Anolis sagrei: one gene and its partners. The protein of the gene in region 3 purifies or fractionates together with the protein of the main gene of each other region. This does not show direct contact. Links are inferred from orthologs where the notes say so. Each region holds a gene or a part of one and is shown on either strand. Other genes may lie near its edges. The genes, in order: ribosomal L1 domain-containing protein 1, C1QBP, DDX21 and DKC1.

Evidence for each region.
Region 1: the proteins of DDX21 (region 3) and ribosomal L1 domain-containing protein 1 purify together in Homo sapiens (affinity purification with mass spectrometry; 3 studies listed by BioGRID and IntAct, with this or other methods). This does not show direct contact. The link is inferred for Anolis sagrei from reciprocal best matches to the Homo sapiens genes DDX21 and RSL1D1.
Region 2: the proteins of DDX21 (region 3) and C1QBP purify together in Homo sapiens (co-immunoprecipitation; 3 studies listed by BioGRID and IntAct, with this or other methods). This does not show direct contact. The link is inferred for Anolis sagrei from reciprocal best matches to the Homo sapiens genes DDX21 and C1QBP.
Region 4: the proteins of DDX21 (region 3) and DKC1 purify together in Homo sapiens (co-immunoprecipitation; 3 studies listed by BioGRID and IntAct, with this or other methods). This does not show direct contact. The link is inferred for Anolis sagrei from reciprocal best matches to the Homo sapiens genes DDX21 and DKC1.

The regions. Positions count from the first base shown.
Region 1 is NC_090034.1:24,515,774-24,524,047, reverse strand, and holds the start of ribosomal L1 domain-containing protein 1, read right to left. Parts: upstream 3,182-8,274; 5' UTR 3,114-3,181; coding exon 3,087-3,113; intron 1,951-3,086; coding exon 1,808-1,950; intron 956-1,807; coding exon 817-955; intron 1-816. UniProt on the Homo sapiens protein: Regulates cellular senescence through inhibition of PTEN translation. Acts as a pro-apoptotic regulator in response to DNA damage.
Region 2 is NC_090031.1:35,466,414-35,474,492, forward strand, and holds the start of C1QBP (complement component 1 Q subcomponent-binding protein, mitochondrial), read right to left. Parts: upstream 3,593-8,079; 5' UTR 3,578-3,592; coding exon 3,277-3,577; intron 1,639-3,276; coding exon 1,488-1,638; intron 1,372-1,487; coding exon 1,287-1,371; intron 359-1,286; coding exon 263-358; intron 1-262. Other genes in the region: PRPF8 (pre-mRNA-processing-splicing factor 8), read left to right, coding at 5,985-6,090, 7,074-7,242, 7,385-7,549.
Region 3 is NC_090023.1:170,858,837-170,867,181, reverse strand, and holds the start of DDX21 (nucleolar RNA helicase 2), read right to left. Parts: upstream 3,235-8,345; 5' UTR 3,220-3,234; coding exon 2,884-3,219; intron 1-2,883.
Region 4 is NC_090030.1:15,196,466-15,204,347, reverse strand, and holds the start of DKC1 (H/ACA ribonucleoprotein complex subunit DKC1), read right to left. Parts: upstream 3,500-7,882; 5' UTR 3,412-3,499; coding exon 3,393-3,411; intron 1-3,392. Other genes in the region: 40-kDa huntingtin-associated protein-like, read left to right, coding at 4,908-5,945.

The DNA of each region.
Region 1 (8,274 bases), on a different chromosome or scaffold from region 3:
ACAATTTCATCCTAGATTTTCTGTTTTTCCTCTACCACTTACATCCCAGTGTTTCTTACTCTTTCCATTGGAGTGGAATTTGCATGACCCTGCCCACTGCCTCTCCCATAACCCTTTCCTATTCTTTTCTATGGCACACAGTAAACAGAGGAATTGATCAGCAACTGAACATACTAGAGAGGTTTGGGGAGAATTCACCATGATTTATAGGAGATGTAGGTACTGAGATGTATAGTTCACCTGAAACCGAAGAGCATTCTGAACTCCACCAACAATGGACCTGTAACTAATTTAGCACACATAACCCCCATTACAAACAAAAAATACTGGAGGTCTTTGGAGGGATTCAGAGGAGCTGTAGTTGAAGGTACTGAGAGTTATAGTTCCCCTGCAATCAATGAGTACTCTGAACTCCACCAACAATGGACCTGGAACCTACTTGGCACACAGAGCCCCATGACCACCAAAAAACACTGGAGGTCTTTGGGGAAAATTCACCTTGATACATTCTGCTTTTTGGCTTCATCAAGAACAGGTATTTTGTAAATGAAATGACTCTTACTTGCCCATGCAAGACTATCTCTAAATATTTTCCAACTGGGATTGTTGCTAGAGAAAACACAGTCTTCCTTGCACAACCAACTGGAAGGAATACAGCTAAGTTGAGCAGGAACAGGGAAGCCCAAGAGGTGGTGATGGTAATGGCTAATGTCACCACCACTTGCTGATCAGACAGCTAAAGCATTGTGACCTTGCAATGTTCCCCAGTGACTCAAAAAGGATGTAACACCCCATGAACATTTGTGTCTTTCATACCTCAGTGATGCTTGTGATCCCATGTTGGGACAAGAGCTTCTTGTACAGGTTCTCCGTCTGTTCTGCTGTTAAATCCGGCTCATCTTTCGTGAAGAGGCAAACCTCCGCCGTTGCAGGCTGAATATTATGAGGCAGGGGTCTGTAAGAAACAAAGCAGTGGCATTGAGAGAATGCACAGAGTGTTTTGACCTCAAATGCAAGGAGGGTTAAGTACAGTCACACTTTGCAAGTGACGCTGGATCCATTTTATAATGGGTTGACTGCCACAGTTTTCCTGGATTCTCTCCTGCCTCCACAACTAAGACCACTGTTTTTCTGACTAAAAAGAGGAGGAAAGGATGCTGCATCTTCTAGGAATGCCAGGAGTGGCAATTTGCACCATTTCTAGCACAATTTCAGCCAAAATACAAAACAAAAACAAACTATTTCCAAAAACCAGAAGAGACATTTGTATAGTTCTGGACTATTGTTTAGTGCAGCGGTTAAAACCGCTACTTGCAGGAAATCCGTTGACTGGAGGGTTAGCAGTTTGACGCCACGAGCCGGAGTGAGCTCCCTGCCGTCAGCCCTATCTACCTAGCAGTTCTATCTACCTAGCAGTTCGAAAACATGTAATGCGAGTAGATTAATAGGTACCACCTCAGTGGGAAGGATAAAGGGCTACCCATGCAGACAAAGAAAGTCTATGGCCAACTGGATACTCGGCATGGAACAAGAGCACCTCCCCATGGCCAGAGTTCAGCATTGCCTCCAGACGCTGGAGATGGAAAGGGGAAGGCTTTACCTCTGTCTCTCTAAGTATTTTATGTCGTTGTTCACTGTGTTAAAAGGTACTGAATGTTTACCTTATACATATAAACTGTAATCTGCTCTTGGTCCCTCCGGGGAGATAAATAAAGTATATTATTATTGTCCTCGAAGGCATTTGGCACCAGCAGCAAACAGTGCTGCGGGGGCCATAGGGGGCTCCCACACTGATTTTTAGACTTACATTTTGATGACTTGCTCACGCAGTGGGATCTTCCAGACGGTAATCATTAAAAATAAACTCCGGTCCTCATTTAAAAGCAATTTCTCGGCCGTATTCTTCTTGTTCTTGCTATGTGCAAGCAATGCGAGAGCAGCCTTTTTAATCTGTAAAAGCAGATATGATTTTTGCTTGTCTAAATCTCTGTGAAATAGGAACATTTTAAATGTCACAGCAATAGTGAGAGTCCCATTTGGTTGGGAAAGAACTTGGAAACCTTACTTTTTTTGGACTACAATTCCCAGAATTTTCGAGCTGGCACACCCAGTGCCCATTATGACTTGGGGACCCAGTAATTTATAACCAGAAATACTTTCCCAAGCTCTGAGAGTCATTTGCCCAATAATTTTCAATAGAATCCGAAAAATAGAAGAGACCCCAAAGGCCATCCAACTCAAGCTGATTCTGCCAGGCAGGACACAAACAAATGCCACCCAACAGATGGCCACCAAGCCATGCTTCAGGGGCTATGACCATAGAATGCCAGAGTTAGAAGAGATCCCAAGGGCAATCTAGTCCGACCTCATCCTGTCTGCAGTAAAGGCACAATCAAAGCATTTCCGACAGATGGCCACCTAGCCTCAGAATCATAGAATCCTAGAGTTGGAGGAGACCCCAAGGGCCATCCAGTCTGACCCCATTCTGCTTGCAGGAAAGGCATAATCAAAACCCTCTCGATAGATGGCCATCCTGCCTCTGAATCATAGAATCCTAGAGTTGGAAGAGACCTGAAGGGTCATCCAGTCCAATCCCATTCTGCTTGCAGGAAAGGCACGATCAAAACCCTCCCGACAGATGGCCATCCAGCCTCAGAATCATAGAATCCCTAGAGTTGGAAGAGACCCGAAGGGTCATTCAGTCCAACCCTATTATGCCTATAGAAAAGGCACAAAGTCTTCCCAAAGCCACCCAGCCTCTGAATCATAGAATCTTATTGGAGCCGGACGAGACCTCAAGGGGCATCAAGTCCGACCCCATTCTGCCTGCGGGAAAGGCACAATCAAAGCCCTCCCGACAGATGGCCACCCAGCCTCGGAATCATAGAATCCTAGAGTTGGAGGAGACCTCCAAGGACCATCCAGTCCGACCCCATTCTGCTTAATGGAAAGGCACAACCGATGGCCACCCAGCCTCAGAATCCGAGAGTGGGAAAAGGCACAAAGGGCCCATCCAGTCCAAAGCCATTCTATCTGCAGGAAAGGCACAATCTAAGCCCTCCCAACAGATGGCTACTCAGCCTCACCTGCTGGGGATCCGGCTGATGCGCCATGCCTGCCTGCCCGTGCCTCGTGCGCTGATGAGAGCGGAAGTCGCCCTCTAATGATGTCACCGCGAGCGACCGCCTCTCTAGGGCTCCTCCCGGAAGAGGAGGCGGAAGCAGAGAGGTCTCCTTGGATGCTGGAGCGGAGGGGCCAAACGTCCAAAGGAAGTATCACACAGTGAAACAGGAGTAACACTTTCAAACTAGTACCAAACTTTCAAAGCACACTTTCTCACCTCAAAAGTTTTGGTCCCTCTTTAGTCTTATGCTTAGGCCCGCATCCGGACTGCCATATAATGCAGTTTAAAGACATTGAAGTCTACACTAATGTGGTTTAATGCTGCTAAAATGCATTAAATGGCATTGCCGATTGGGATTAGTCGAAAGAATGGTTTTCTCCTGCTTGGTTTTAAGATCTGGCTGTTATCCATCCTCCTTCAGGATAAAATTCAAAGCCTCAAAATTCAACAGGCCTTCAAAAACAAAAGCCATTAGTAAGGGTTTTAAAATTTGAAATGCTAACACTATTTATTTTGGGTTAAACCACTGAACTGCTAAACTTGTTGACCGAAAGGTCGCAGGTTCGAATCCAGGGAGTGGTGTGAGTTTCCCCTGTGAGCCCCAGCTTCTGCCAACCTAACAGTTCGAAAACATGCAAATATGAGTAGATCAGTAGGTACCGCTCTGGCGGGAAGGTAACGGCACTCCTTGCAGTTATGGCCACCTGACCTTGGAGGTTTCTATGGACAACACCAGCTCTTCGGCTTAGAAATGGAGATGAGCACCAACTCCCAGAGTCAGACATGGCTGGACTTAATTTCAGGGGAGAACCTTTACCTTTACATTTAATACCTTTATTTACATATACTCCTTTTATATCCCCTTCCGGTTCTGATTGCTTTAATCAAATCCTCGACTGCCATTAAAACCACCCAAAGAGGACAGTCCAATCTAGTACCTTGCTGTATGTTACATTTGTTTAGGCTGCATTTACATTGTTGAATTAATGCAGTTCAGCACAACTGCTCTACCTAAGTGCTATGAAATCATTATTTTTATATTATTATTATTATATATTAATATAATACTAAATCTCTGAAGCTTTAGATACTCTTACTACCTATTACAGGGAAAACCAGCTGATTGCTAATCAATCTAAAATGCAGACATGTGCTTTTCATTTTAAGAACAGACGAGCATCTTGAGCTCTGGGGACTAATTGGGAAGGAATCCCACCTGAGCATTGCAGCACATCAAAATACCTGGATGTTACTCTGAACCATGCTTTGATTTACAAGAAGCACTACTTGACTATCAAGCAAAAAGTGGCTGCTAGAAATAATATCATATGAAACCTGATTGGCACAACGTGGGATCACAACCAGACACAGTGAAGACATCTGCCCTTGCACTTTGCTACTCTGCTGCTGAGTACACATGCCCAATGTGAAATACATGTCACCACGTTAAAACAGTGGATGTGGCTCCTGAAGACATGCCACATTATCACAGGATGTTTACATCCCACACTACTAGAGAAATTATACTGTTAGCTGGTATTGCACCACCTGACATCTGTCAGGAAGTAGCAGCCTGTAATGAAAGGACCAAGGCACGGACATCTCCGGCCCATCCTCTGTTCGGATATCAGCCAGTACGCCAGCACCGTGTATCAATAGCTTCCTAAGATCTACTGAGGAACACCTCAACAAGCAAGAGCAAACCTCATTCCACTTACTACAATGCAGCCTGAGTGCTGCCACACACACAGTGGAGGACCTTCTTATAGCCACACCAGCGTGGCTGTAAGTGGCCAGTTCTGGTCAAAGACATCTGTTTGTGTTTTTAAATACATTACAACCGGTCCCTCAATTGGCTTATGACACAATATATCAAATAAATTGTTGTTGTTATTATTAACTATTTCTATCCCACTTTTTCCCCATAGGGAATCATGGGAGTTTTAGTTTGGTGAGGCACCAGCAGTCTTTGGCAGGGAAGGCTATAAAGACCTTATAAAACTACAACTCTGGTGAAATGTAACATTTGTTCTGCAAAGAACCTAAAATCATCAGTAGGTGGTAGTAAAGAGGATCAGGATCAACAGTGAGACCCCGTCTGCATTACCATATTCAGGCCCAAGCCCCCAAATTACAAACGAGAGGTTCTGTAGGTTTGTTCTTAAATTGAATTTGTATGTAAGTTGGAACAGGAACTTTTTTTAGTGTTAACTCCATATATATATATATATATATATATATATATATATATGCATGCATGCATGCATGATTTGGATAGCATAGGGAAGGGTGAACACTCTTGTGGTGTTTGTGTTGCCGTCTGTGCCCAGATTTCACATTTCCTGTCCTTGTGAGAATTGGATTTTGAAAAAAACTTGGCTTGTTGTGGAAAAACAAGGATTGGAGAAAAGCTTCCTTCCAAGGGGGAAGATTTGTCTTGCTTCTTGTTGTCTGATCCCCGTTCCTAACTAGGAGTCGTTTGCAAGTTGGATATTTGTAATTCAGGGACGGCCTGTAATCCAGTTTCTGAATCCAGATGATCTGCTTTGAGTTGGGACTATATGGCAATATAAAGTCATATAATCAAGTGCAAATCAGATCATCTGGGTTCAGAAACTGGATTATATGGCAATGTAGATCCAGCCTGAGAGGGTTGGGAGACACTCCTCATCTCAAAACAAAGGAAGAAAATTAGCAGAATCCTCAAGTGAATCAACACATCAAGACTGAAGTTGAATCTGTGAATGTAGAGATGAAAAAGGTGGCATCGACTGGGCTGCAGGTTCAGTGGTCAGATATCCGACAGGACCAGCATCTTGAAGTTGAAAGGAAGCTGCGAGAGGTTTGGTTTCCAATCAACCCTGAGAAAACAACTCCCTTTTATACATTTCCCAATGACAAAAGGCAAGTTTGGACATGTCTTTTAACAGAGCTGGGTTCTCTTCACAGATAGGATATTTTAATTAGAGCCATAGACTTGAAGAGGGCCATCCAGTCCCGCCTTCTGCCATGAATACAGATATCAAAGCCCTCCTGACAGATGGCCATCCAGCCTGTTTAAAAACTTCCAGAGAAGGAGACTCCACCTTGAACAGCTTTGACCCTTGGGAAGTTCTTCCTAATGTTTTGGCAGAATCTCTTTTCCTGCCCTTTGAATCCCTGGCTCCACAGAAATTTCTACAAGTCTGTTTGTTCCTTCCTCCTCAATGGGACCTCCTTTCAAATACTTACATATGGCTCTCTCCTCCTCCTTTTCTCCAGGCTAAATATACCCAGTTCCCTCTGCCATTCCCTTACATTAGTGTATTATAAAAGAAAATCTGAATTGTGATCTTTTCTGAAAAATCACTTTGTAATTCCCAGAAAAATAAAAGGCAGAAATATGCAGACATAATAAAATTTATTTAATGTTTTCATGCATTGTTGTAGCTACAAGTATAGTCATATGAAACTGAAGGACAATCAATTTTGCTTTGTCCATACAATGTAGCCTTATGTAAAATGGATGGGAGTTCCATGATTACAAATAAACAACCAGGGGGAAAACATTTCAGATTTATAGTAGAATAAATGGAACAGTTCCATGACTGTAGACTTTGGGGAATGGGCACATTATTACACTTTGAACATACAAAGGTAAAAAGGTATAATCGAAGAAGCATCTTGGACCTTGGAAACCAGCCTTCTATAGGAACCTAATACTGGAGATTGCCATTAAACACATGAGCATCATTGCACATCACTCAATTTCTGCTTTCTCCCCAGTTTTACAATGGCACAGATCCCATGCTCAGCCTACACACAGATATATGAATTTAGTACCCCGTTCTTTTTAATTGCCAGCCACAAGTTCTATAATTCACTTTTGCTTTGGGCTGCTGTGAGTTTTCCGGGCTGTATGGCCATGTTCCAGAAGCATTCTCTCCTAATGTTTTGCCCACATCTATGGCAGGTATCATCAGAGGTTGTGAGGTCTGCTGGAAACTAGGCAAGTGAGGTTTGTATTTCTGTGGAATAATGCCCAGGGTGGGAGAAAGAACTCTTGTGTGCTTGAAGCTAGTGTGAATGTTACAATTGGCCAGCTTGAATAGAACTGAATAGCCTTACAGTCTCAAAGCCTGGCTGCTTTCTGTCTGGGGGAATCCTTTGTTTGGAGGTGTTAGCTGGCCCTGATTTGAGAATACAGACATGCTGGACCACTCTAACAACCACCATGTCAGAATACACAGAGAGCCATTGAAATCCACAAGCATGTGGACAATTTCAACAGAGAGGAAACCATGAAGATAAACATAACCTGGCTACTAGAATTTAAAAACTTCAAAATCAGGACAGTAAATAAAGAACATCACTCAGAAGACAGGGGAATTCCAAAGAAGAAACAATCAGGGACAGCTAACACCTCCCAACAAAGGATTCCCCAGGCAGGAAGGAGCCAGGCTTTGAAGCTGCAAGGCTATTAAATGCTAATCAAGCTGGCCAATTGCAACATTCACACTAGCCTCAAGCACACAAGAGTTCTTTCTTCCACCCTGGACATCATTCCACAGAAATATAAACCTCACTTGCCAAGTTTCCAACAGACCTGACAACCTCTAAGGATGCTTGCCATAGATATGGACAAAAAGTCAGGCGAGAATGCTTCTGGAACATGACCAGACAGCCAGGAAAACTCACAGCAATCCAATGATTCCAGCCACGAAAGCCTGGAACACACTTTGGCTTTCCTTTAGTTCAGACTCTGATGTGCAGAAACGTATAGCCTGTGGTTGATATTCATCTCAATTGCAATGAGCAAACCTTTACTATTAAACTGCATCAATCCAGTGAGATTACATCAAGTTTCTGCCAGTTAAATACCAACTACTCATGGAAGGCCTATCAGGCTCAATTCAGATCTCTTAAAGAAAAATGAACACAGATTCTCCAGTCTTTCAAATTAGACAGAATGAAGAAAGTAACTTTGATCATCAACTGATAATTGAAACCCAGTTGGAATTGAATATTGTATTCCAGTATTATTGCACAAGTTGCCACATAACAGTCCCAGTAAGTTTGTTGGCCAGTATAGACGGAGAGAGAAAACAAACAAACACTAATTAAATAGTACCATATTTGCATTAGCATATTAAGATTTTTTTTTAAAAAAA
Region 2 (8,079 bases), on a different chromosome or scaffold from region 3:
GGTGGGAAGCTCACTCCGACCCGGGCTGGCTTCGAACTCATGACCTCTCGGTCAGTAGTGATTTTAATGCATACACACACAATATATTTCAGACCCCCTTTCCCCATGATAACAATAACTCTTCCAGGAGTGGATTTCCCTTCCGAGGGGGGGGGGGTGGATTCCCCTCATTCCCAGTTGCTTCAGCCCTGTTCTTAACTGTGAGTCGTTTGTCAGTCGGATGTTTGCAACTTGGGAACGGCCCACACGGGCCTCCACTCACCTCGTCCTCAGGGTAGTGGCAGTCCAGCACCAGGGTCTGCTTGGTGTCATCTTTGGTGACTTCCACAACAAAGTTCGGGGTCGACGTGAGATCCGGCTGCAGGAAAAAAACAGACCTCTGTTTAGCCATCTTGATCACTGCCTTCCCTTTGGGAGAACTGGTGGAGTCTTCGTGAACAGAGTACGCATGGCCCTCTGTCGGGAGGGTTTGGGTTGCATCTTCCCACCTGGCTGAAAGGGGTTGGACTAGATGCCCTTTGGGGGCCTCTCCCAACTCTAGGATTCCACTGCCATTCTGTAAGCTGCTGGCAATACTGGAAAGGTTTGGGGGGAATTCACCTTGATTCACAGTCCTTGTAGGTACTGGGATTTATAGTTCACCCGCAATCAAAGGGAACTCTGGACCCCACAATGATGGACCTGGGCCTAACTTGGCGCACAAAACCCCCATGACCAACAAAAGAATGTAGGAGGGACTTGGGGGGATTCATCTTGATTTTTAGGATTTATAGTTCACCTACATCCAGAGAGCAATGTCAACACAGTAATGGATCTGCACCAAATTCAGCACGCATACCCCATATGCCAAAATTTGAATACTGGTGAGTTGGGGGGGGGGGGGGAGGGATTGGCCTTGACATCGGTTAGTTGTACGTACTGGGATTTATAGTTCAATTGTGATCAAAGTGCACTCCGCACCCCACCATTGATGGAACTGCGTCTAACTTGGCACACATAACCTCCATGACCAAGGAAGGATTTGACAGGACTGACCACAGTGGGAGTTGTAGTTCACCCTGCAGCCAGAGAGCACACTGAACCCCACTGAGGATGCATCTAAAGCAAATTTGCCTAACATGACAAACTAAATATTGATGGGTTTTCAGGGAGTTCCCCTGGCATGATGGGAGTTGTAGTTCATCTAGAATCTTAGGCATTTGGGACAATTAAAAAGTGGCTTCTTCTAATAGCCCGGGCAATGCCAGGGACCCAAGCTAGTCTATAATAAAAGGACCCCCACTTACTTCTTGCTCGTCCGGCTTCTGTCCTTCTGGAGCCTCGTCAAAACTCGGCGGGATGCTGTTGTTGATGTTGAAGGACACCGTGACCCTGTGGACGGAACCAGGAGGAGGAGCCCAAGGTGAGCAAACTCCAGAGAGATATAACAAGAGGGGTGGGAGACCCCCACCTGACCCCACCCAGGAGGAGGAGGAGGCGCCCCTTACGTCTCGCCGGCCACTTTCCGCGCCAGCTTGGCCTCGGTGCCTTGGACGTCCAGCTCCCAGCCGCCGGACATTTTGGGCAATGACTTGTGCTTCTGGATCTTCTTCTCCTCCTTGATTTCGTCCACCAGGAACTCCGCAAAAGCTTTGTCGCCTGCCAAGAACACACAGGTGAGAGCTATCCACCTAATCCAGTGTTTCTCAACCCTCCTGATGCCACGACCCCTTAATACAGTTCCTCATGTTATGTTGACCCCCAACCATAACATTGTTTTTGTTGCTACTTCAGAACTGTCATTTTGCTTCTGTTATGAATCGTTGTGTAAGTATCAGATAGGTAGGATGTGGCACAAATACCCAATACACCCAAATTTGAATACTGGTGGGGTTGGGGGGGGGGGTTGATTTTGTCATTTGGGAGTTGTAGTTGCTGGGATTTATAGTTCAGCTACAATCAGAGCATTCTGAATTCCACCAACAATGGAACTGAACCAAATTTGGCACACAGAACTCCCATGACCAACAGAAAATACTAGAAAGGTTTGGTGGGCATTGGCCTTGAATGTTAGAGTTGTAGTTCACCTGCATCCAGACAGAACTACGGACTCAACCAATGATGAATCTGAACCATACTTGGCACGGATACTCAATATGCTCAGATGTGAACACTGGTGGAATTGGGGGAAAATAGACCTCGACATTTGGGAGTTGTAGTTGCTGGGATTTGTAGTTCACCTACAATCAGAGAGCATTCTGAACCTCACCAACGATAGAATTGGGCCAGACTTCCCAAACAGAATCCCCAAGACCAACAGAAAATACTGTATTTTCTGATGGTCTTTGGTGACCTCTCTGACACCCCCTCATGACCCCCACAGGGGTCCCAACCCCCAGGTTGAGAAACACTGACCTAATCTATGGACCTATCTATGTATTTATTATTTATTTGCGACATGGATATGCCGCCCGCCCTTCTCCCCTTACTCAGGGGACTCAAAGCGGCTTACAAAATATATACATACAATATAATATATTATTAGTATAGTACAATATCAGTATTATATATTACTATCAATATATCTAATCTATCTGTAGCTATTATCTATGCAACTATGCATCTAATCTATGCATCTGCCTATCTGATCTATCTGTATTTATCCCTCTATGCAACTATGTATGCATGTCTGTATCTGATCTATGCATCTGTTTATCTAATCTAGCTGTCTCTTTGTAGCTATGCAACTATGTAAGTATATCTGTATCTATCCTATGTATGTGTTTATCTGTCTAAGCCAGGGATCCTCAAACTAAGACTTGAGGGCCGGATGCGGCCCTCCAAGGTCATTTCCCCAGCCCTCGCTCAGGGTCAACCTAAGTCTGAAATGACTTGAAAGCATGACAACAACAACCAGCCCACACCAAAGCTCCCATAATTACATTATTATACGATTATTATATATATATATATATATATATATATATATAATTCTAACATTATTATAATATATAATATAATATTATAAAATTATATATAATATATTATTATTATTATTATTCTCTTCCTAGGCACAGAGATCCTATTCCCAGAGAGAACGCATTCAAAACCCTATTTTCAGAGAATATTTTTATTTTGTTATTATTATTATTATTATTACTTGTGGTGTCAGGAGCGACTTAAGAAACTGCAAGTCGCTTCTGGCGTGAGAGAATGGGCCGTCTGCAAGGAGGTTGTCCAGGGGACGATGCCAGGCGCGTGGCCAGGAGGTGAATGGAGGAGGAGGAGGAGGCTCACCTTCAGTGTGGAGGCCCGCGCATGCGCAGGGGGCGGAGGGCAGGCTCCTGAGGCCTCCCCCTCCCCCGCGAGGCCTGCGCTCCTGGAGCTGCCACAGCGAGCGGGTGAAGGGCCGGGCGGCGGGGAGCAGCCGCGGAGCCAGGCTGGAGGCGCCCGTCCGCGCCTGGAAAGGCCGAAGCGCCGCGGAAGCCGAAGAGCGGAGGACCCGAGCGAGCAGCATGGCCGTCTGAGGGGAAAGGAACGCGCACCGGAAGTGGAAGCAGCAGCAGCAGAAAGCCGGAAAGGGCGGGGAAAAGCACATCCCCGCTAGTGCGCACGCGCATCAAAGGTTCCCGCCCCTTTCTCATTCCCGGCGTGTTGCCTTCCCGCCCTCACTGCGCACGCGCCGAAGAGATAGAAGAGAACTCCCCGCTAGTGCGCATGCGCAAAAAATGTGCCCGCCCCTTTCTCTTTGCGGCGCGTTGCCTTGCCGCCCTCACTGCGCACGCGCTGGAGAGATAAAAGGGAGCTCCCTCGCTACTGCGCATGCGCATCAAAGGAGCCCGCCCCTTTCCCTTTGAAGCGTGTTGCCTTCCCGCCCTCACTGCGCACGCGCCGGAAAGAGACAAGCGAGCTCCCCCGCTAGTGCGCATGCGCATCAAAGGTGCCTTCACACTCTCACTACGCACGCGCCGGAGAAAGAGAAAAAAGAGAGCTCCCTCGCTAGTGCGCACGCGCATCAAAGGTTCCCGTCCCTTTCCCTTTCCGGCGCGTTGCCTTCCCGCCCTCACTGCGCATGCGTTTGAGAGAAAAAAGGGGCGGATACCTTCTCCCTTCCCCGCCCCCTCACTCTCAGCGCTCGTCGATTGGCCGGCTGCGAAATCCTTTCCACGCCTCATCCGTTTCCGGAGAGTGGCGCCTGCGCAGTGTGAGATTCTCACGCAGAGGCGGCGAAGGCGGCCGCCATTACGAGTCCTTCGCCTGAGAGGAAAAGAGAGAAGAAGGAAGGAAGGAGGGGAGGAGAGAAGGGAAGATACCAGGCCGGAAGGTCAGTAGTCATCCCGAATTTTATTCCCCGCTATAATTGGGCTTATTTGCATATGCATAATGAGATACTTTAGAAAAGAAGGAGCGAGAATGGGTTTCTGGTTTACGCCAAGGAGGCGCCCGAAGCAGGACTAGGCCCACGCTTGGCGCATTTGCATACTGTTTGCTGATTGGCTACTCTTCCTCCTGCCCGCGTCTGATTGGCCAAGGCCTTGCTCCTTGGCCTAGGCTGGAAATTGAAGTCTTCTGCACACACTTCACTAATTACTCCTGTGCTTATTATTAATTAATTAATTACAATAAATTAACACAGGAGTAATTAGTAAAGACACACAGAGTGTGTGCAGAAGACTTCAATTTCCAGTCTAGGCCAAGGACTCATGTCTTATTAATAATATTAATTAATATTAATAATAATTAATGATAAGAATTTTATTTAACTGCCCCTCCCCATTATTTATTTATATTTGTATCCCACTTTATCTCCATATTGATACTCAAAGCAGCTCACAATAAAAATATTACAACTTCAGATATTCAATAATAAAACGGTAATATATATATAGTTGTGTGTGTATTATATATTAACAATAATATTATGTTTAATATATTATCATTATGGTGCATTATTGTGTATTGTTATATTGTATAATTATATAAATAAAAATGTAATGTTCGTTTGTGGGATTAACATAACTCAAAAACCACTGGACAAATTGACACCAAATTTGGACACAAGACACCTAACAGCCCAATGTATGTCCTTCACTAAAAAAAAAGATTTTGTCATTTGGGAGTTGTTGTTGCTGGGATTTATAGTTCACCTCCAATCAAAGAGCATTCTGAACCCCACCAACGATGGAATTGAACCAAACTTGGCACATAGTTCTCTCATGACCAACAGAAAATACTGGAAGGGTTTGGTGGGCATTGGCCTTTGGTTTTAGAGTTGTAGTTCACCTACATCCAGAGATCACTGTGGACTCAAACAAGGATGGATCTGGACCAAACTTGCCATGAATACTCAGTATGCCCAAATGTGAACATTGGTGGAGTTTGGGGAAAATAGAAACTTGACATTTGGGAGTTGTAGTTGCTGGGATTTGTAGAGAGCATTCTGAACCCCACCAACGAATTGGGCCATAGAACCCCCATGACCACCAGAGTGGGCCACAGCAACTCGTGGCAGGGAACGGCTAGTTATATAAATAAAAATGTAATGATTTATTGTGGGATTGGCATAACTCAAAAACCACTGGACAAATTGACACCAAATTTGGACACAAGACCCCTCTCAGGCCAACGAGTGACCATCACTGGAAAACACTGACAAACACTGGAAAACACAACAGAAGAGACTTAAAAAGCCGAAAAACAAAAAAAAAATACATTACAAAGCATGTGCAAAACCACATATACACACAAATACACATATACACACAAATATATACGCACACACATACACACAAACACAAAACATATATACACAGGCTAGACCACAGCAATGTGTGGCAAGGGAGGGCTAGTATATTATAGATAGGCAGGTGCATATTATATAATACATGTTATATGACATTATAGTGGTATAGTACAATATAATAATATACCATAGTAATGTATTATACTAATAGTATATATTAATAACATGTTTGTTTCCCTTCCCTTAGGCCTGACCTGCGGCCATGGCAACTGGCGTGTTCCCTCCCTTCCGGGGGCCCTGCCCTCCGATGCCGGCCCCTATGGCTCCGCTGCCAGACTACATGTCCGAGGAGAAGCTCCAGGAGAAAGGTACGATATGTTCACGCTCTTATATCGCCTTGTTAGTTGACATAGCCAGGCTGATCTGTCAAATTATTCCGTCATAGGTCTATGTTATTTAATCAGATTTAAGAGTTTTTACTGCTTATTATAATACCATTGACATTTAATTATATTTTAATATTGGCATATTTTTAGGTGGATTTCAATTGTATGCATTGGTTTTACAATAAGCTGCTTTGAGTATTTTTTTAGAGAAATATAGCAAGATCTAAGTAATAATAATAGTTTATTTATATACCATTAATATTGAATTCTATTTTAATGTTTGTGTATTTTAGGCCTTAAATTGTATTGGCCTAAATGTAAGATACTCCCTGACCAAACTTTGCATAAAATGACCTCAGAAGCACTTTATTTTATGGTTCGTGCAATTAAATCCTTCCCTGTCCCCGGATCCTCCTTCTAATAATTTATATTGTCCTATCTCCCAGCGTTTAACAAATTTATCATTGAGTTCGGCCTTGCCCAGCCTAATCCTCTGTGTTTTAATGTTTGATTTGCTTTTGTTCTTCATTTATTATATTGCTTTTGCATTTGATGTATTTTATTTCTGGTTTTGTTATGCTTTTGTGTTATATTATGATACTGTATTTTTGGACAAGGCCTCATGTAAGCCGCACTGAGTCCCCCTGGGAGAGATGGAGCGGGGTATAAAGTATTATTATTATTATTATTATTATTATTGGCTTCACTCTATTTATTTGTTTTATTTATTTATTTACTGTGCTTATATACCGCAATTCTCAGCCCAAGGGCAACTCTAAGCCCCTCTGAGTCTCTTATTCATAGAGAAAAAAAGCAGAGTATAATAAAAATAATGAGTAAATCCCTAATATACGACAGGCCTTAATTATAGGATCCTGGCAGTATCATTCCCTTTGGGCGGGGGGTGCTTTGGCTCTTTTGGGGAAAGCTCTGCCTCTATTGTGAGTGTGTTCTGGCTTTCGCAGCCCGCAAATGGCAGCAGCTGCAGGCCAAGCGCTACGCTGAGAAGCGGAAGTTTGGCTTTGTGGATGCGCAGAAGGAGGACATGCCTCCGGAGCATGTGAGGAAAATCATCCGTGACCATGGAGATATGACCAACAGGAAGTTCCGACATGACAAGCGGGTCTATTTGGGGTGAGGAAGGAGCTTAGCATGTGGGGGAACCTGGCTGGCTTTGGGGAGAGCCAGAAGGCTCGGTCTGGGGTTCTTTGGGCTGAACTCCTTGCCATTTAGCAACCAAAGCTTCCCTCTTTGTAACTTCTGTGATCTCCACCAGGGCGTTGAAATACATGCCTCACGCGGTGCTGAAGCTCTTGGAGAACATGCCAATGCCCTGGGAGCAGATCCGTGACGTCCCCGTCCTGTACCACATCACTGGCGCCATTTCCTTCGTGAATGAGATCCCGTGGGTCATTGAGCCCGTCTACATCGCCCAGTGGGGGTAAGCGGGGGGCCCTTCCAACCCTTACTTCTCCATCAATGTTGTGGGAAACACCTTTTGTAGAGCATAACTTGTTAGAAAAGCATGACCTTTCAGAGAAGAGCCAAACGCCCTTGAGAGTAGAATCTTCTCTTGTGGGATACAACCAGATATAATTATGTAAAACTAGCTGTACCCGCCACATGTTGCTGTGGCCAACCTTCCCCCCTCTTTCTCTCCTTCTCTCCTTCCCTCCCTCTTTCCTTCCTTCCCTCTTTTTCTTTCCCTCCCTCTTTCTTCCTTCTCTACCTGTTTCTTTTCTCACTTCCTTTACTCTTTGGTTCCATCCTTCCTTGTCTCCTTCCTTCCCTCCCTCTTTCTTTCGTTCCTTCTCTCCTTCCTTCCCTCTTTCACTTTTTATTTCATTCTCTCCTTCCTTCTCTCCTTCCTTCCTTCTCTACCCTTCTTTCTTTCCTTCTTTCTCTCCTTCCTTTCTTCTTTCCCTCCCTTTTTCCTTCTCTATACATTCTTTCCTTCCTTTTCTCCTTCCC
Region 3 (8,345 bases):
AGCCACAAGATATTAGGAGCTATCCCTGTACAAGCCCAATCAAGGAAGTAATGGCCTTGAGTCTGTGAGAACTGATATGAGACCTGACTTGGAAGAGTTCTAATTCATAACTCATTGTCAACAACAACAACAACAACAGGTGGTTAAAGAATGGACGGAGAGATTCTGATTTGAGTCCCCACTGAGCCACAGGGATTGCTTGTACGAAGTACATGAGCTGTAAACATCCAATGTACTATTACAAGCTAAGAAAATGTTTAAAAAAAACCCTATCTATCTCAAAATATATATTTTCCAGGATGGCTCTCACATCCAGAGAGCCCCGTCATGGACAGCAACGATGGATCTGGGCCAAACATACCCATCATGGCCATCTTAAAATACTGGTAACATGTCTGTGGGATGACCCAGGATGATGGGAATTGTAGTCTGCCCACTTCCAGGGAGCCCTGTGAACCCACCAAGAATGGATCTGGATCCATCTTGGTAGACAGACCCAACTTTAAATACTGACTGGGTTGGGTTATGTGAGGGAGAAGGATGGGAGCAATCCACCCACAACCGAAGACCCATGTGTATCTTACACCCAGAGAGCCATACGTATTTTGAATGGAACCATTCATAACATACAAAAATCAAACAATGATTACACTAGGAGAAATAAAGGGAAAGCAGATAGAGGTAAATAACAGTATGTAAAGAAAAATTGTATTAGAGCTATAAGTGCAGTATACTTTAGACAGGGAAAGTTTTAAACTGAAGTAGGTGCTTTATTATTATTGCATCTGTCATTATTTTTATGTTCTCACTAGCCGTCCCCTGCCATGCGTTGCTGTGGCCCATTCTGTGTATATGTGTTGTGTGTGTATATATATGTGTATCACCTTTTTGTCCATGTCCCAGCATTACTTCTAATTTTAACCTTACATTTGGGCCTTCCCACTGTTTTTAACTGTGTGTTGTCTTATTGATAATGTTGTATATTTTATTATGTTTTTTATTGCTTGTATTGTTTTTTTATTGCTTGTATTGTTGTTTTATTGCTTGTATTGTTGTATTTGGGCTCGACCTCATGTAAGCCGCACCGAGTCCCTTGGGCAGATGGTAGGGGGTACAAATAAAGTGTTATTATTATTATTATTATTATTATTAACTACTTTTAAAGTCAGGACCGCATAATAATAAGAATAAGAAGAATAATAATAAGAAGTATAATAATAATAATAAACGTTATTTAATACCCCTCCACCATCTCCCCAATGGGGACTCGGGGCGGTTTACATGAGGCCAAGCCCAACAGCATATTACAATAATGTAAAACCAATAACAACACAATAAAATGCAACCTGTGCTGGACTGGGTTACACTCCCCCTGAAGTCACAGGTCCGCAGCTTGGGAGTTCTCCTGGATTCATCATTTACGCTTGAGGCTCAGGCGTCGGCGGTGGCCGGGAGGGCTTTTGCACAGCTAAGACTTGTGCGCCAGCTGCGACCGTACTTCGCAAAGGTTGATTTGGCCGGGGTGGTCCATGCCTTGGTCACCTCTTGATTGGATTACTGTAATGTGCTCTACGTGGGGCTGCCTTTGAAAACGGCTCGGAAATTCCAACTGGTCCAACGGGCGGCGGTCAGGATGTTAACTGGCGCTCCTTACAGAGAGAGGTCAACCCTCCTGTTTAAGGAGCTCCATTGGCTGCCGTTTACCTACCGAGCCCAATTCAAGGGGCAGGTGCTTACCTACAAAGCCCTAAACGGTTTGGGACCTGCCTACCTGCGTGACCGCATCTCCGTATATGAACCCACATTCTCCCTTCATTCATCCGGAGAGGGCCTGCTCACGATTCCACCTGCATCGCAGGTGCATTTGGTGGGGACGAGGGACAGGGCCTTCTCTGTGGTTGCCTCCCGACTTTGGAACACCCTCCCCAAAGACATTAGACTAGCACCCACATTGGCAGTCTTTAGGAAGAACTTGAAGACCTGGCTATTCTGATGTGCCTTTCCGGAATAGGATAACCCTCAGCACTATGTCCCAGAAGCACTGTATTAGAGTTTAAGACTCTCTGCACATTGCACTTGCCCAGAATTCCAACATACCACCTGCCACACCCAGCCCTTTTTAACCTGTACCCATCACTGGCCTGGCCCTGGTTTTTATTGTGTAATAGTGTAATGTTTTGTTATTGCTTATGTTTTTAATTTGCTTTGTATCGTATTGTTATTGTCTGTTGTTGTTGTGCTGAGGCCTTGGCCTTTGTAAGCTGCATTGAGTCCTTCGGGAGATGCTAACGGGGTACAAATAAAGTTTAATAATAATAATAATACAACATATGAGTACAAAGACGATAAAGCAAAATCATAACACGGTAAAATAAAATAACATAACAATGAGCAAAATAAAAACTAAGATACTAAAAATACTAAAATCAGGATGAGACAGGGATGTTGGGGGGAAACTCGTAAAGGAACGGGGTTATAAATATAGACCTTCATACGGGTGAGGAAATATACTCTGGGGACAATTAAACAAGAAACAACACTTTCAAAACGGGAACAGTTTTGTTGTTGTTTTAAAGGAAATGTCTGCGTCGTGGGACGGGGAGGGGAAAGCCCGCCACGTGCGCAACAGCGAAGGCGGAACAGAAAGGCCGTAGAACACAAACGCGGGTGGCGAGGCCTAACTCTAAGGGACTTTGGAGGGGGCGGGAAGGCCCGTGGGAAAGAGAGGCCTCCTCTTGGTTGACTTCTCTGCGCCACGAACAGGCCGCGCTTCCGGCTCGGAGGCCGGCTTCTCCTTCCCGTCAGCCACGAGGCCCGGTCGGCCTTACGTAAGCGCCTGGGCCTTGTCCTTCCCTCTTTCCGTCCTTCCCCCTCGCCGCGTACCTTGCGCTTCTTCCCTCCGCTCTCCAGGGCGTCCTCGGGCTCCAGGGCGGCCTCGAGCTCCATCTCGTTGTCGTCGTTGTCGTCGGGGCGGGGGGCTGCGGGCATGGCCTGGCAATCTCCGCCGCGGAGCTGGTGGCAGAAGCGGCTGGTCGGGGCCGAGGCCGGCGTGAAAGGAAGGAGCAGCTCCGCCCCGCCCAAGAGGAGGGAGGGGGAGGGGGAGGAGGGGGGAGGCGGCGCGCGGCTGAGGGGGGCGGCGCAAAATGGCGCCCTCCAGCAGGCCGGGGCCAGGCGGAGGGCCTTCCGGGACTGCGCCAGGCAGCGGCACCACCAGCCCATGCCCCACCGGCGCCTCAGCCCTGACTAGGCCGCGGCCGGGAAGAGGAGCGCCGGGTGAGGCCTGCCTTCCCGCAGTTCAGGGGCCCGCCTTGAGGGGGCGCCAGGGAAAGAGTGTCTCTCGTCAGACCGGCGTTTGAAAGAGGACGCCCACGCGCCTCTTCTGCCTCGCGCAGAACTCTGGGAAATGTAGTGTGGGGCGGGGTCTCTACTATTCCCAGCTAAAGAGGAATTGCCTCAACATCAAGCAAAAAGTGGGTGCTAGAAACAATATCATACGAAAGCTGACTGGCACAACCTGGGGATCACAACCAGACACAGTGAAGACATCCGCCCTTGCGCTGTGCTACTCTGCTGCTGAGTATGCATGCCCAGTGTGGAACACATCTCACCAAGGTGATCTAATCAAGGTGATCAGCTGAAACATTCACATTAGCCCCAGCAGACAAAAGTCCTTTGTCTCACCCTGGTTATTCCACAGATATATAAACCCATTTTTCCTACTTCCAACACACCTCACTACCTCTGAGGATGCTTGCCTTTTCTCTGAGGAGAAAAATTGCCTCCAGAACATGCCCATATAGCCGGAAAAACCTACAACAACCCACATCTCACCACACTAAAACAGTGGATGTGGCTCTTAATGAGACATGCCGCATTATCACAGGGTGTCTGCGCCCTACACCACTGGAGAAATTACACTGCTTAGGCAGTATCGCACCACCTGACATCCGCCAGGAAGTGGCAGCCAATAGTGAAAGGACCAAGGCAGTGACATCTCCAGCTCATCCCCTGTTTGGGTATCAGCTAGCACGTCAACGACTTAAATCCAGACAGAGACACTCGCTGGAACACCTCAGCAAGCAAGAGTCCAAAAGTGGCAGGCTCAAACCCAGAACCTCAACCAATGGCTGATACCAAATGAGAAACTCCCCCCTGGGCACACAGAGGACTGGGCGACTTGGAAGGCGCTGAACAGACTGCGCTCTGGCACCACGAGATGCAGAGCCAACCTTCAGAAATGTGGAATCCACAACATGCGAGTGTGGAGAGGAGCAAACCACAGACCACCTGCTGCAATGCAACCTGAGCCCTGCCACATGCACAATGGAGGATCTTTTTGCAGCAACACCAAAAGCACTCCAAGTGGCCAGATACTGGTCAAGGGACATTTAATCAACTATCAAACACACATTTTGTATTTTCTCTGTTTGTTTGCTTTGTTCTGTTAGAAATGTAATATAACTGACTGGCTGCCCTGACACGAGAAATAAATAAGCTAAAGAGGAGCAGGATTCAAAACGAGCTTCACAGATTGGAGAGATGATTGGCCAAAACTGACAAAATCGGCGGTGTCCGGGAGGGCTTTTGCACAATTGAGACTTGTGCGCCAACTGCAACCGTACCTCTCAAAGGCTGATCTGGCCGGGGTGGTCCATGCCTTGGTCAGCTCTAGACTGGACTACTGTAATGCACTCTACGTGGGGCTGCCCTTGAAAATGGCTCGGAAATTTCAATTGGTGCAATGGGCAGCGGCCAGGATGTTAACAGTTATGAGATGCATTGTGTTGTCTATTGTTGTGTCAATATTGTATATTATGCTTTTATGGTTTTAAATTGTATATCGTTGATTGATTTTTATCCTTGTTGTAAACCGCGTTGAGTCGCCTGTTGGGCTGAGAAACTGCGGTATACAAGTAAATAAATAATAAATTAACTGGTGCTCCTTACAGAGAGAGGTCAACCCTCCTGTTCAAGGAGCTCCTTTGGCTGCCGTTTATTTTCCGAGCCCAATTTAAGGTGCAGGTGCTGACCTACAAAGCCCTAAATGGTTTGGGACCAGCCTACCTGCGTGACCGCATCTCCGTCTATGAACCCACGCGCTCACTTCGTTCATCCGGAGAGGCCCTGCTTGCAATTCCGCCTGGGTCTCAGACACGTCTGGTGGGGACGCGAGACAGGGCCTTTTCTGTGGTGGCCCCCCAACTCTGGAACACCCTCCCCAAAGATCTTAGACAGGCTCCTACGTTGGCAGTCTTTAGGAAGAATTTGAAGACCTGGCTGTTCCGATGTGCCTTTCCAGAATAGGAATCCTCCAACAAGTCCCAAGAGCACTTTAGTAGAAATTAAGATTGTTGGCACACTGAACTTGCCCTATAATCCTACATATCACCTGCCACATCAGCACTTTTAATCTGTACCCATTACTCTGGCCCAAATACCAAATTTGCAAAATCTGTGTGGGTTTTTTTTCTTTCTTTTTTTCTTTTTCTTTTTAATCTCTGTGTTTGTTTTGCTCTGTTAGAATTGTAATACAATGGTTGCTGATGACACGATAAATAAATACTCTGGCCCGGCCCAGTTTTATTGTGTATTGGTTTATTGCTTGTTGTTTTAATATTGCTTTAACTGTTTTTGATTTGATTTAGGTTGCGTATTGTTATGTTGTGTTTTGAGGCCTTGGCCTTTGTAAGCCGCATCGAGTCCTTCGGGAGATGCTAGCGGGGTACAAATAAAGATAATAATAATAATAATAATAATAATAATATGAAGTTCAACAGGAACAAATGCAAGGAAAAAAATGTTGCAAGCAAAGACTTTCAGTATATCTTTCAGATTTCAATATTGACGAATTGACACCAAATTTGGACAGCGTACACCTAACATCCCAATGTATGTCCTTCACTCAAAAAAATGATTTTGTCATTTGGGAGTTGTAGTTGCTGAGATTTATAATACACCTACAATCAAAGAGCACTCTGAACTCCACCAACAATGGTATTGAACCAAACTTGGCACACAGTTCTCCCATGACCAACAGAAAATACTGGAAGGATTTGGTGGCCAGTGTCCTTTGGTTTTGGAGTTGTAGTTCACCTACATCCAGAGATCACTGTGGACACAAACAATGATGGATCTGGACCAAACTATACGAATACTCAATAAGCACAAATGTGAACACTGGTGGAGTATGGGGAAAATAGAATCTTGACATTTCGGAGTTGTAGTTGCTGGGATTTATAGTTCACCTACAATCACAGATTTTTCTGAATCCCACCAATGATAGAATTGGGCCAGACCTCCCACACAGAACCCCCATGTGGGCCACAGCAATGCGTGGCAGGGGACGGCTAGTCTATATAAATAAAAATGTAATGTTCATTTGTGGTATTCACAGAACTCAAAAACCGCTGGGCAAATTGACACCAAATTTGGACACAAGACAGCACACAAAGCAATCTATGTCCTTCACTCAATAAAACAAAAAAAATTAACCTTAATCCCCCAAAGAAGCCAAAAATTCATAACAGCGCATGCGCGAATGTCCCCTCCCCCCCACGCGAAGGAAAATCTGTTGCAAGCTGCCAATCCCGACAAGCTCCTTCTTCCTGCTGCAGCTGCAAGGCGCCTTTCATGTGACCCTGCCTGCGTGCCCAACCGGCAAACAGGCAGGAAGGCCATGGCAGAAAAAAGAAGGGGCGGTGCTGGCCTGCCTCGAAAGCACCTCCCTCCTGCCTGCACCGCGCCTGGCTGCGAGGCTCCCTTCCTGCCAGCACCAGGCAAGTGGTCAAGAAGGGAAGGAAGGGAAGAGGGAGAGAAGAAAGGAGAGAAAGAAAGAGGGAGGGAAAGAAAGCAAAGGAAGGAAGGAACGAAAGAGGGAGAGAAGATAGAAAGGAGAGAGAGGAGAAGGAAAATAAAAGGGGGAGCAAGGGACAAAATTGACAAAAGCAATTTTTTTTGAGTGAAGGACATATATTGGGTTGTTAGGTGTCTTGTGTCCAAATTTGATGTCAATTCGTCCAGTGGGTGTTGAGTTCTGTGAATACCACAAACGAACATTACATTTTTATTTATATAAGATTTGTCGTTTATTCATTCCTCTTCCTTTACAGCATCCATTAAAAAAGCTGTTTAGGCCTCCAACTCCCAGAAGGTTTAGCCAGTTTGTTTAATGGTCAGGAATTCTGGGAGTTGGGGGGCCAAACTGCTGGAGGGCCACAGTTTGAGGATGCCTGCAATAAGGTTTGAAAAGCAGTAGGAAGATCCCATTACATTACACTGTAAAGGAAGTCACTTTGTCTCAGAAGTCTCTCATTCATTTACATACTGTAAATCAAAACCAACTTGATGGCTAATAGCAGGGTGCTTGACATTTTCAGTATGAGCAAAGTGAACAAAGTACACAGGATTAAGATGTTCTCCTTTATATCCTCATATCAGTCAATTTTAAATAAGGCAGCACTGATTTAGGCAGACCCCTATGTCCCATGGGAAAAATGGATGGGATAAGGGACAGGGGCCCCACAGGGCACAAAACCGAATACCTAACTGACAGAAGGAAGTGATTTTAATTTTTTTAGTGTATGGATAGGAGGTAATAAGATCAATGAGCAGCTGGGAAAAATGACTCCAGATTTGGGGTGTGTCTGCAGAACCCCCATAAGATCACTGCGTTAGACGAATACACTAGAGCAGTGGTTCTCAACCTGGGTCCCCAGATGTTTTTGGCCTTCAACTCCCAGAAATCCTAACAGCTGGTAAACTGGCTGGGATTTCTGGGAGTTGTAGGCTAAAAACATCTGGGGACCCCAGGTTGAGAACCACTGCACTAGAGCCTAAAGCAAACGAAACATCTTGGATTTCTGTGTGGCCACTAAAGGCAAATATATTACAATTTAATTCCATTGTTTTCCCATATAAGTATTACCACAAAGAAAAGATGGTTATAAAAAGGCGCAGGAAAAGGTTTATTAAAAAGCTTCCATACATGGTAAAAGGGGACTATTATGACTTTAATCTACTTTAACATATTTGATAGCTTATGACATTTACAGTATATATATTGACATATTTACAAAGGAAAAAATGTGGTAGTAAAAAAAAATTAAACATTCATAACTGGAGTCAACTGAAGCAAGGAACTGCAAGTAAGAGTCGTTCCATTCTGTATAGTCTTCTCCAAGCCTTCCATATTCAGGAGGAAGCTTCTCCTTTTCTTCAGGCCATCCAAGATGGCAGAACTAGCAGATGCCATACTTTGGGTTCTAGAAAAAAACATTTTGCAAAACAAATGATTTAATATATTCATAACCACTGATTTCTCAATTACCTATAGACAAAAAAAGATC
Region 4 (7,882 bases), on a different chromosome or scaffold from region 3:
CAACCACAGCTAGCAGTGATATTGACTTCACCAACAGGAGGCAAAAAAGTCGTTGGGATTTAGCATAGAAAAGCAGAGCAGGAGGACGAACTAAAGGCCACTTCAGCGGTAACACCACACGTGCTGAGATCTGGGGCAGGATATCCTTCCATGTCCTTTGGAAAAGTATATGCCTTCAAGGAAAAAAACTCCTTTGGCTGCATCTCCACTGCCATATAAAATCCAGATTATCTGCTTTGATAATTCTCTGGATTATATGCCAGTGTAGATCCAGCCTTTGACTAAGATTTAGGCACAAAGGACTAACCATTCAGTTTTTGTGATTTTTTTTCTACTACTGCAACACTATTGAGCTAAATTTGTCTTTCCAAAAAGTCCATGTTCCAGCACAAATGCTCGCATTTCGCCGCTTTATTAGTAACATGGCTTTTTCTAGCTAGAAGCATTGGAATATGTATATTTTATATTACAAGCTCGGGGGGAAAAACTGAGCTAAAGCTCCTGCTCTTACCACTTGCAACTGTCATTCAGCTTCTACAAGATCAGCAACATTGGTAGGAGCAGAAAATAAAAGCATGGAAAGCACAATGGGAGCCACCTTCTACCAGAGGGAATGGAATACATAGACTATCCACAAGGCAATGGCAGCAGCTGCTACAGACTAAAAACTTTGGGGGCTACTTTTTTCTCTGCTCTCTCTATATATATGCAACAATGCAGTTATTTAAATTGCAATATCATACTTGCATTGTTACAAGAACACTTTTTAATGCTGCAATACAATAATAATACATTTTTTGTTCCTGGGTTATAAATGTCATTTCCTGATTAGTTCTATCATAAAAACATGAAAAAGGTGTGTTATTATTATTATTATTTTGACGGAGATCCTGCAGATTATTTTGCTATAGGTTTTCAACTAATATCTTACATAGTCTCAACCAATTCCAGACAGTTTCTGGAGTAGAACAACTCTTTTCAAAGACCGCACAATTAAACTAGAAAGAACACTTTCAAATCAGGGGCAGATTTTTTTTTTCAAATTTTGTTACATAGTGTACTGTTAGCAGTTGCCGCCATCAATCTTCCATGTGCTTCAGGGCTTTGGCATGAAAGTGGAAAAGGGCGCAATACAATCCCGCTCAAAGCATTAGACGCAAACATGTGGAGGATAGTAGTTTGGCCATCCACAGATTCTGAACGCAGGGACAGATGTTTTGAAAAAATATGTTTTGAAAAGTCAAACTTTGGTTTTAGTGTTTTATAGATGAGACATGCCATTTACATAATGAAGCTTGAACATTTGAACCTATAGAATATTTATCCATCTATCTCTTTCAGACATGGGCCAACTTGGGCCTTCCAGGTATTTTGGTCTCCAACTCCCACTGTTAGGAATTGTGGGAGTTGAAGTCCAAAACACCAGGAGGGCCAAAGTTAGCCCTTGCCTGATATATAGCGTCTGTCTGTCTGTCTGTCTGTCTGTCTATCTATCTATCTATCTATCTATCTATCTTACTATCTATCTATCTATCTATCCATATCTGTCTATGATATATATCTCTATATCCCTACAGTCCTTCCCAAAACAGACTCTTAGGCTCTTACATCCAATCTATATAAATAAAAATGTCATGTTCGTTTGTGGGATTAACATAACTTAAAAAATCACTAGATGAATTGACACCAAATTTGCACACAAGACACCTCTCAGGCCAATTCTATTATTAGGAAAGAATACTAATAATAATACAAACATAAAAGAATAGTAATAACTAGATGTCCCCTGCCATGCGTTGCTGTGGCCCAGCCTGTGTAGATGTGTTTTGAGTGTGTATATATTTGTGTGTATGTGTATATATGTGTGTTTGCATATATATGTGTGGTTTTAAGCATTTGTTGTAATGTGTTTTTTGGCTTTTTAAGTCTCTTGTGTGTGTGTTTTTAGTGTTTTATGAGTGATGGTCACTCGTTGGCCTGAGAGGTGTATTGTGTCCAAATTTGATGCCAATTCATCGAGTGGTTTTTGAGTTATGTTAATCCCACAATCAAACATTACATTTTTATTTATATAGATGTACATGCAAAATGTGAATATGTGTGTTTGCATATATGTGCGTGTGTGGTTTTGCGCCTGCATTGTAGTTTTTGGCTTTAAAGCCTCTTCTGCTGTTTTTCAGTCTTTTTTTAGTGATGGCCACTCGTTGGCCTGAGAGGTGTCTTGTGTCCAAATTTGGTGTCAATTCATCCAGTGGTTTTTGAGTTATGTTAATCCCACAAACGAACATTACATTTTTTATTTATACTAGCCATCCCCTGCCACGCGTTGCTGTGGCAAACATGGGAGTTCTGTGTGGGAAATTTGGCCCAATTCTATCGTTGGTGGGATTTCAGAATGCTCTGTGTTTGTAGGTGAACTATAAATCCCAGTAACTATAACTCCCGAATGTCAAGATTCTATTTCCCCCAAACTCCACCAGTGTTCACATTTGGGCATATTGAGTATTCGTGTAGATTATTTGTGCCAAGTTTGGTCCAGATCCATCATTGTTTGTGTGCACAGTGCTCTCTGGATGTAGGTGAACTACAACTCCAAAACCAAAGGACACTGCTCACCAAACTCTATTTATTATTTATTTAAAAGTTTTGTATACCGGCCTTCTCACCTCTCTTGAGGGACTCAGACCTGTTTCCAACCATAATATCACATACAATCAATAAAACATCATAATACATATTACAGTAAAACATTAAAACAGCAATTACAATCAATAACTATAATGGTCAGTCGTGGCACTAAAAATACCCTTCCAGTATTTTCTGTTGGCCGTAGGAGTTCTGTGTGCCAAGATTGGTTCAATTCCATCACTGTTGGGGTTCAGAATGCTCTGTGATTGTAGGTGAACTATAAATCCCAGCAACTACAACTCCCAAATGACAAAATCAATTTCTTTGAATGAAGGACCTACATTGAGTTGTTCGGTGTCTTGTGTCCAACTTTGGTGTCAATTCGTCCAGTGGGTTTTGAGTTATATTAATCCCACAAATGAACATTACATTTTTATTTATATAGCTATTATTACTACTATTCTTTCTTCTCATCAAAAAGACCCAAAGTACCCAAGGCCTGGTTGCAACGCCTTCTTTGTATCTCCTCGCCCCATTGACTGAGGAGGAGAAAGCCTAAGCTGCTCCTCCCTTTGTGGCCCTGATAGGGAAGATGGCAAGGCTACCTCTGAGCATACATGGAGTGCTTCCCCTCCCTTTGTGGCCCTCACAGGGCTGCTTCTGAGCATGCTTCCTCTCAGACCCAGGGGGGAAGCGCCCTCCTCCAATTCAACAAAAGCCTCCTCCTGCCCTGACTCTTAAACTTTAAACAGCAAGGAACCCACCTGCGCCACCGTCCGCCATCTTGCCTCCGCCACGCGCTGCCTCTGGAGCACGCTACACCCGCGCGCTCACTCCGGCCGGAAAGGGACGCCACGCCCACTTCCGCTCCCGAGAGGCAACGCGGCACCAGGGCGGGCTGGAAACAAACTGGCCAGAGGGATCCACAACGCCCCTAGTGGCCACGCCGGAAATTGCACCCTCATTATTTATTTATCAGCAACCAGACATTTGTATTACAAGGTTCTTGTGGGTTTTTTCGGGCTATAGGGCCATGTTCTAGAGGCATTTCTCCTGACGTTTCGCCTGCATCTATGGCAAGCATCCTCAGAGGTAGTGAGGTCTGTTGGAAATAGGACAATGGGTTTATAGATCTGTGGAATGGCTGGGGTGGGGCAAGGAGCTCTTCCCTGCTGCAGTTAGGTGTGAATGTTTAGCTGATCACCTTCATTAGCATTTGAAGGCCTGCCTGAACCTGGGAAAATCTGTTGCTGGGAGGTGTTAATCTGTGCCTGGTTGTTTCCTCTCTGTTGTTTTGCTGTTATAATTTTAGAGTTTTTTAATACTGGTAGCCAGACTTTGTTCATTTTCATGGTCTCTTCCTTTCTGTTGAAATTGTCCACATGCTTGTGGATTTCAATGGCTTCTCTGTGTAGTCTGACATGGTGGTTGTTGGTGTGGTCCAGCATTTCTGTGTTCTCAAATAATATGCTGTGTCCAGGCTGGTTCATCAGGTGCTCTGCTATGGCTGACTTCTCTGGCTGAAGTAGTCTGCAGTGCCTTTCATGTTCCTTGATGCGTGTCTGGGCAATGCTGCGTTTGGTGGTCCCTATGTAGACTTGTCCACAGCTGCATGGTACACGGTAGACTCCTGCAGAAGTGAGAGGATCCCTCTTGTCCTTTGCTGAACGTAGCATTTGTTGGATTTTCTTGGTGGGTTTGTAGATAGTTTGTATGTTGTGTTTCCTCATCAGCTTCCCTATGCGGTCAGTGGTTCCCTTGATGTATGGCAGGAACACCTTTCCTCTTCGACAATACATTTGTATTACATTTTTAACAAAAACAAACAGACAGACAAAACATAGAATTTGCAAGCTTGGTAGTTGATTAAATGTCCAAAGGACATTTAACATAGTACCAAACTCAGAAGTGTTGTATTTTATCTGTTTTTTTGCTTTGTTCTGTTAGAAATGTAATATAATTGACTGGTTAATCTGACATGACAAATAAATATGGGGTGATTTGAATGCAATATTCCTGCTTCTTGGCAGAATGGGCTTGGACTGGATGGCCCATGAGGTCTCTTCCAACTCTAGGATTCTATGATTCAGCCTGTGCTAGGCCCTCCTCTTAGTCCAAGAGCTCCCTCTCATCACTATAGCAACACACTCTTAGCCACGCCCCCTTCTTAACATCCGAGTCCTCCAGTGCGAGAGCGTGTCGTCACATCCCGTCCGGACCGGAAGCGCGCCTCCAGTGTTGTTTTGGCATCCCTGAGGGAAGGAAGGGAGGAAGGGAGAATGCTGTCTGTTCCAGGCTCCGGCCCGCCTCCGGGCTTCGGTTCGGGGGAAGGCGGCAGCGGCGGGGCGGGCGGAGACTTCTTGTCCCGCTACCGGGCGGTGTCGGCCAAGCTTCGCCGCCGCTTCCTCCGCAAGCCCAACGTGTCTGAGGCGGCGGAGCAGTTCTGGGCCTTGGCTCGGGAGCTGCGCGCCCAGGAGAGCCTCCCCCACGCGGCCTGGTGCCAGCTGGCGGTGGCGCGCTGCTCGCAGAGCCTGGGCCACGCGCCGGGGGAGGCGGCGGCGCTGACGGAGGCGGCCCGGCTGTGGCTGCGGCACGAGCGGGAGCTGCGCCTCCGCCAAGGCGGGCCTGCCTCCGCCGCGCTGGGCCTGGCCGAGCACCACCTCCCGGCCGCCCAGAGCTGCCTCGCCTTCGCCGCCCGACTCCGCCTCGACCTCGGGCAGCCCGCCCTGGCCGCCGGGCTGTGGCTCGAGCTGGGCGAGGAGCTGCGCGGCGCCGGGGAGGCCGCCCAAGCCGTGGCCGCCTTCCTCCGCGCGGGGGAGCTCCTGGTCTTGGCCCAGCTGCCCCTGGAGGCGCTGCGGGCACACAGCCAGGCTGCCTCCTGCCTCCTCCTCTGCGGGGACCACGATGGCGCCCTCGCCCTGCTCACTAAGGCCCAAGGACAGGCCCAAGGCGCCTCTGCTGCTTCTCCTGCTTCCATTCAGCAACTCCCAGGCACCTTCTTGGACGAGCTGCTCCGCTGCGAAGTCACCCGCGTCCTCCTCCTGCTCTTGCTCCAGCCGCCGCCTTCCAAACTGCTCCCCGAACATGCCCAGACCCTGGAGAAGTACTCCTGGGAGGCTCTGGATGCCTCACCCAGCTACATCCCTGCCGAGCTCTACCTGCTGCTCCAGTCTACCGTCATGGCCTGCCAGGAGAAGGACCTGGAGGCCCTCAAGGCCCTGCAGAAGGAGCTCTGGCCGCTCCTCAGCCCTGAGCAGAACCACCTCCTCCATTTGGTCCTCCAGGAGATGATCCGGCCTTCAGGGCAGGGCTTCTAGGCCTGGATCTAGAACGATGGCTTCAGACTGCAGGGTGGGAATGCCTGAGCCCAAGAGCACACAGAACAGAGGCTGCAGCAGGTGGCATCCCCACATCCTAGGAAACACTAAGGCCCAAGGCGCCTCTGCTTCTCCTGCTTCCGTTCATCAACTCTCAAGGCCCTGCAGAAGGAGCTCTGGCCACTCCTCAGCCCTGAGCAGAACCACCTCCTCCATTTGGTCCTCCAGAAGATGATTCAGCCTTCAGGGCAGGGCTTCTAGGCCTGGATCTAGAACGATGGCTGCAGACTGCAGGGTGGGAATGCCTGAACCCAAGAGCACACAGAACAGTGGCTGCAGCAGGTGGCATTCCCACATCCTAGGAAACAGGTCCTCAAAGGGCCCACAGCCAGGCCGCCTCCTGCCTCCTCCTTTGCAGGGACCACGATGGCGCCCTGGCCCTGCTCACTAAGGCCCAAGGCGCCTCTGCTTCTCCTGCTTCGATTCATCAACTCCCAGGTGCCTTCTTGGATGAACTGCTCCGCTTCGAAGTCACCCGCGTCCTCCCCCTGCTCTTGCTCCAGCCGCCACCTTCCAAGCTGCTCCCCGAACATGCCCAGACCCTGGAGAAGTACTCCTGGGAGGCCCTGGACGCCTCGCCCAGCTACATTCCTGCCAAACTCTACCTGCTGCTCCGTTACACTGGCCCTCAAGGCCCTGCAGAAGGAGCTCTGGCCACTCCTCAGCCCTGAGCAGAACCACCTCCTCCATTTGGTCCTGCAGGAGATGATCCGGCCTTCAGGGCAGGGCTTCTAGACCTGGATCTAGAGCGATGGCTTCAGACTTCAGGGTTGGCATGTCTGAGCCCAAGAGCAGACTGAATACTGATCGTAGCAGGTGGCATCTCCACATCCTAGGAAACGGGTCCTCAAAGGGAGATGAGGAAAAGAATGAGCACTCACAGGGGATAATGGAAGTGTGAGCCCTCACACATCTGGACAGGGCTGGGCTGTGTGTTTCCACTGGAATAATAATAATAATAAAGTTTTATTTTAACCTGCCCTCTCTCCCTGAAGGGATTCAGGATGGCTTCCATAAACAAAAATGGCAAACATTCAATGTCGTGTACAGTATTGAAATGAAAACATTGAAACATACAATTAAAGCAGTTTAAACATCTTTGGCTAAAAGCATCTAAGTCAGTCAGCCAGGCCCCATAGATTGATTTATTTATTTACAGTATTTATATTCCGCCCTTCTCACCCTGAAGGGGACTCAGGGTGGATCACAGAACATGTATATGGCAAACGTTCAATGCCGATTATACAGTGACAAGACAGACAACAGACAGAGGTATTACATAGACTTTTCCCCATTTCTTCAGCATCTTTGGAGGCTGTGCTTGGTTCCTGCCACAAGGGGTGCTGTTTTTCCATCTTGCTGAAGAGCTTTTTGTGTTTGTAAACTTTTCTCTGAACACTGTGCCTAAAATACCTCCCCGGTTAATGTGGTTCCTATTTATCTACTCACATTGCTGTTTTCAATTTGTTAGATAGGCGGAGAGCTTGGCTGAAGGTCAGGAACTCACCCTGATCCAGCTTCAAACTGTCAGCCTTTCAGTTGGCAAGATTTACTGCAGCTGGTGATAAACTTGCTGTGCTAAAGCCAGTTTAATAGATAATACAATTAAACCATTAAAATCTGTATAAAGGTATAAAAATAGCTCTTTGATAAATTAATATTGTCAGCTTTGTCCACCAAGATGGAGTCAGTGGTAAACTATTAATCCTCTATTTAAGGTGGAAGCTCCTGCAGGGTGGGAATGTCTGGGTCCAAGCATAGGCAGAATGGTAGCTCCAGGAGGCAACATCCCCGCATCTTAAGGAACGGAGCCTGAAACGGAGGTGGGGGAAAGAGCACTCACTGAGGATAATGGGAGCATGAGTCCAACACATCTG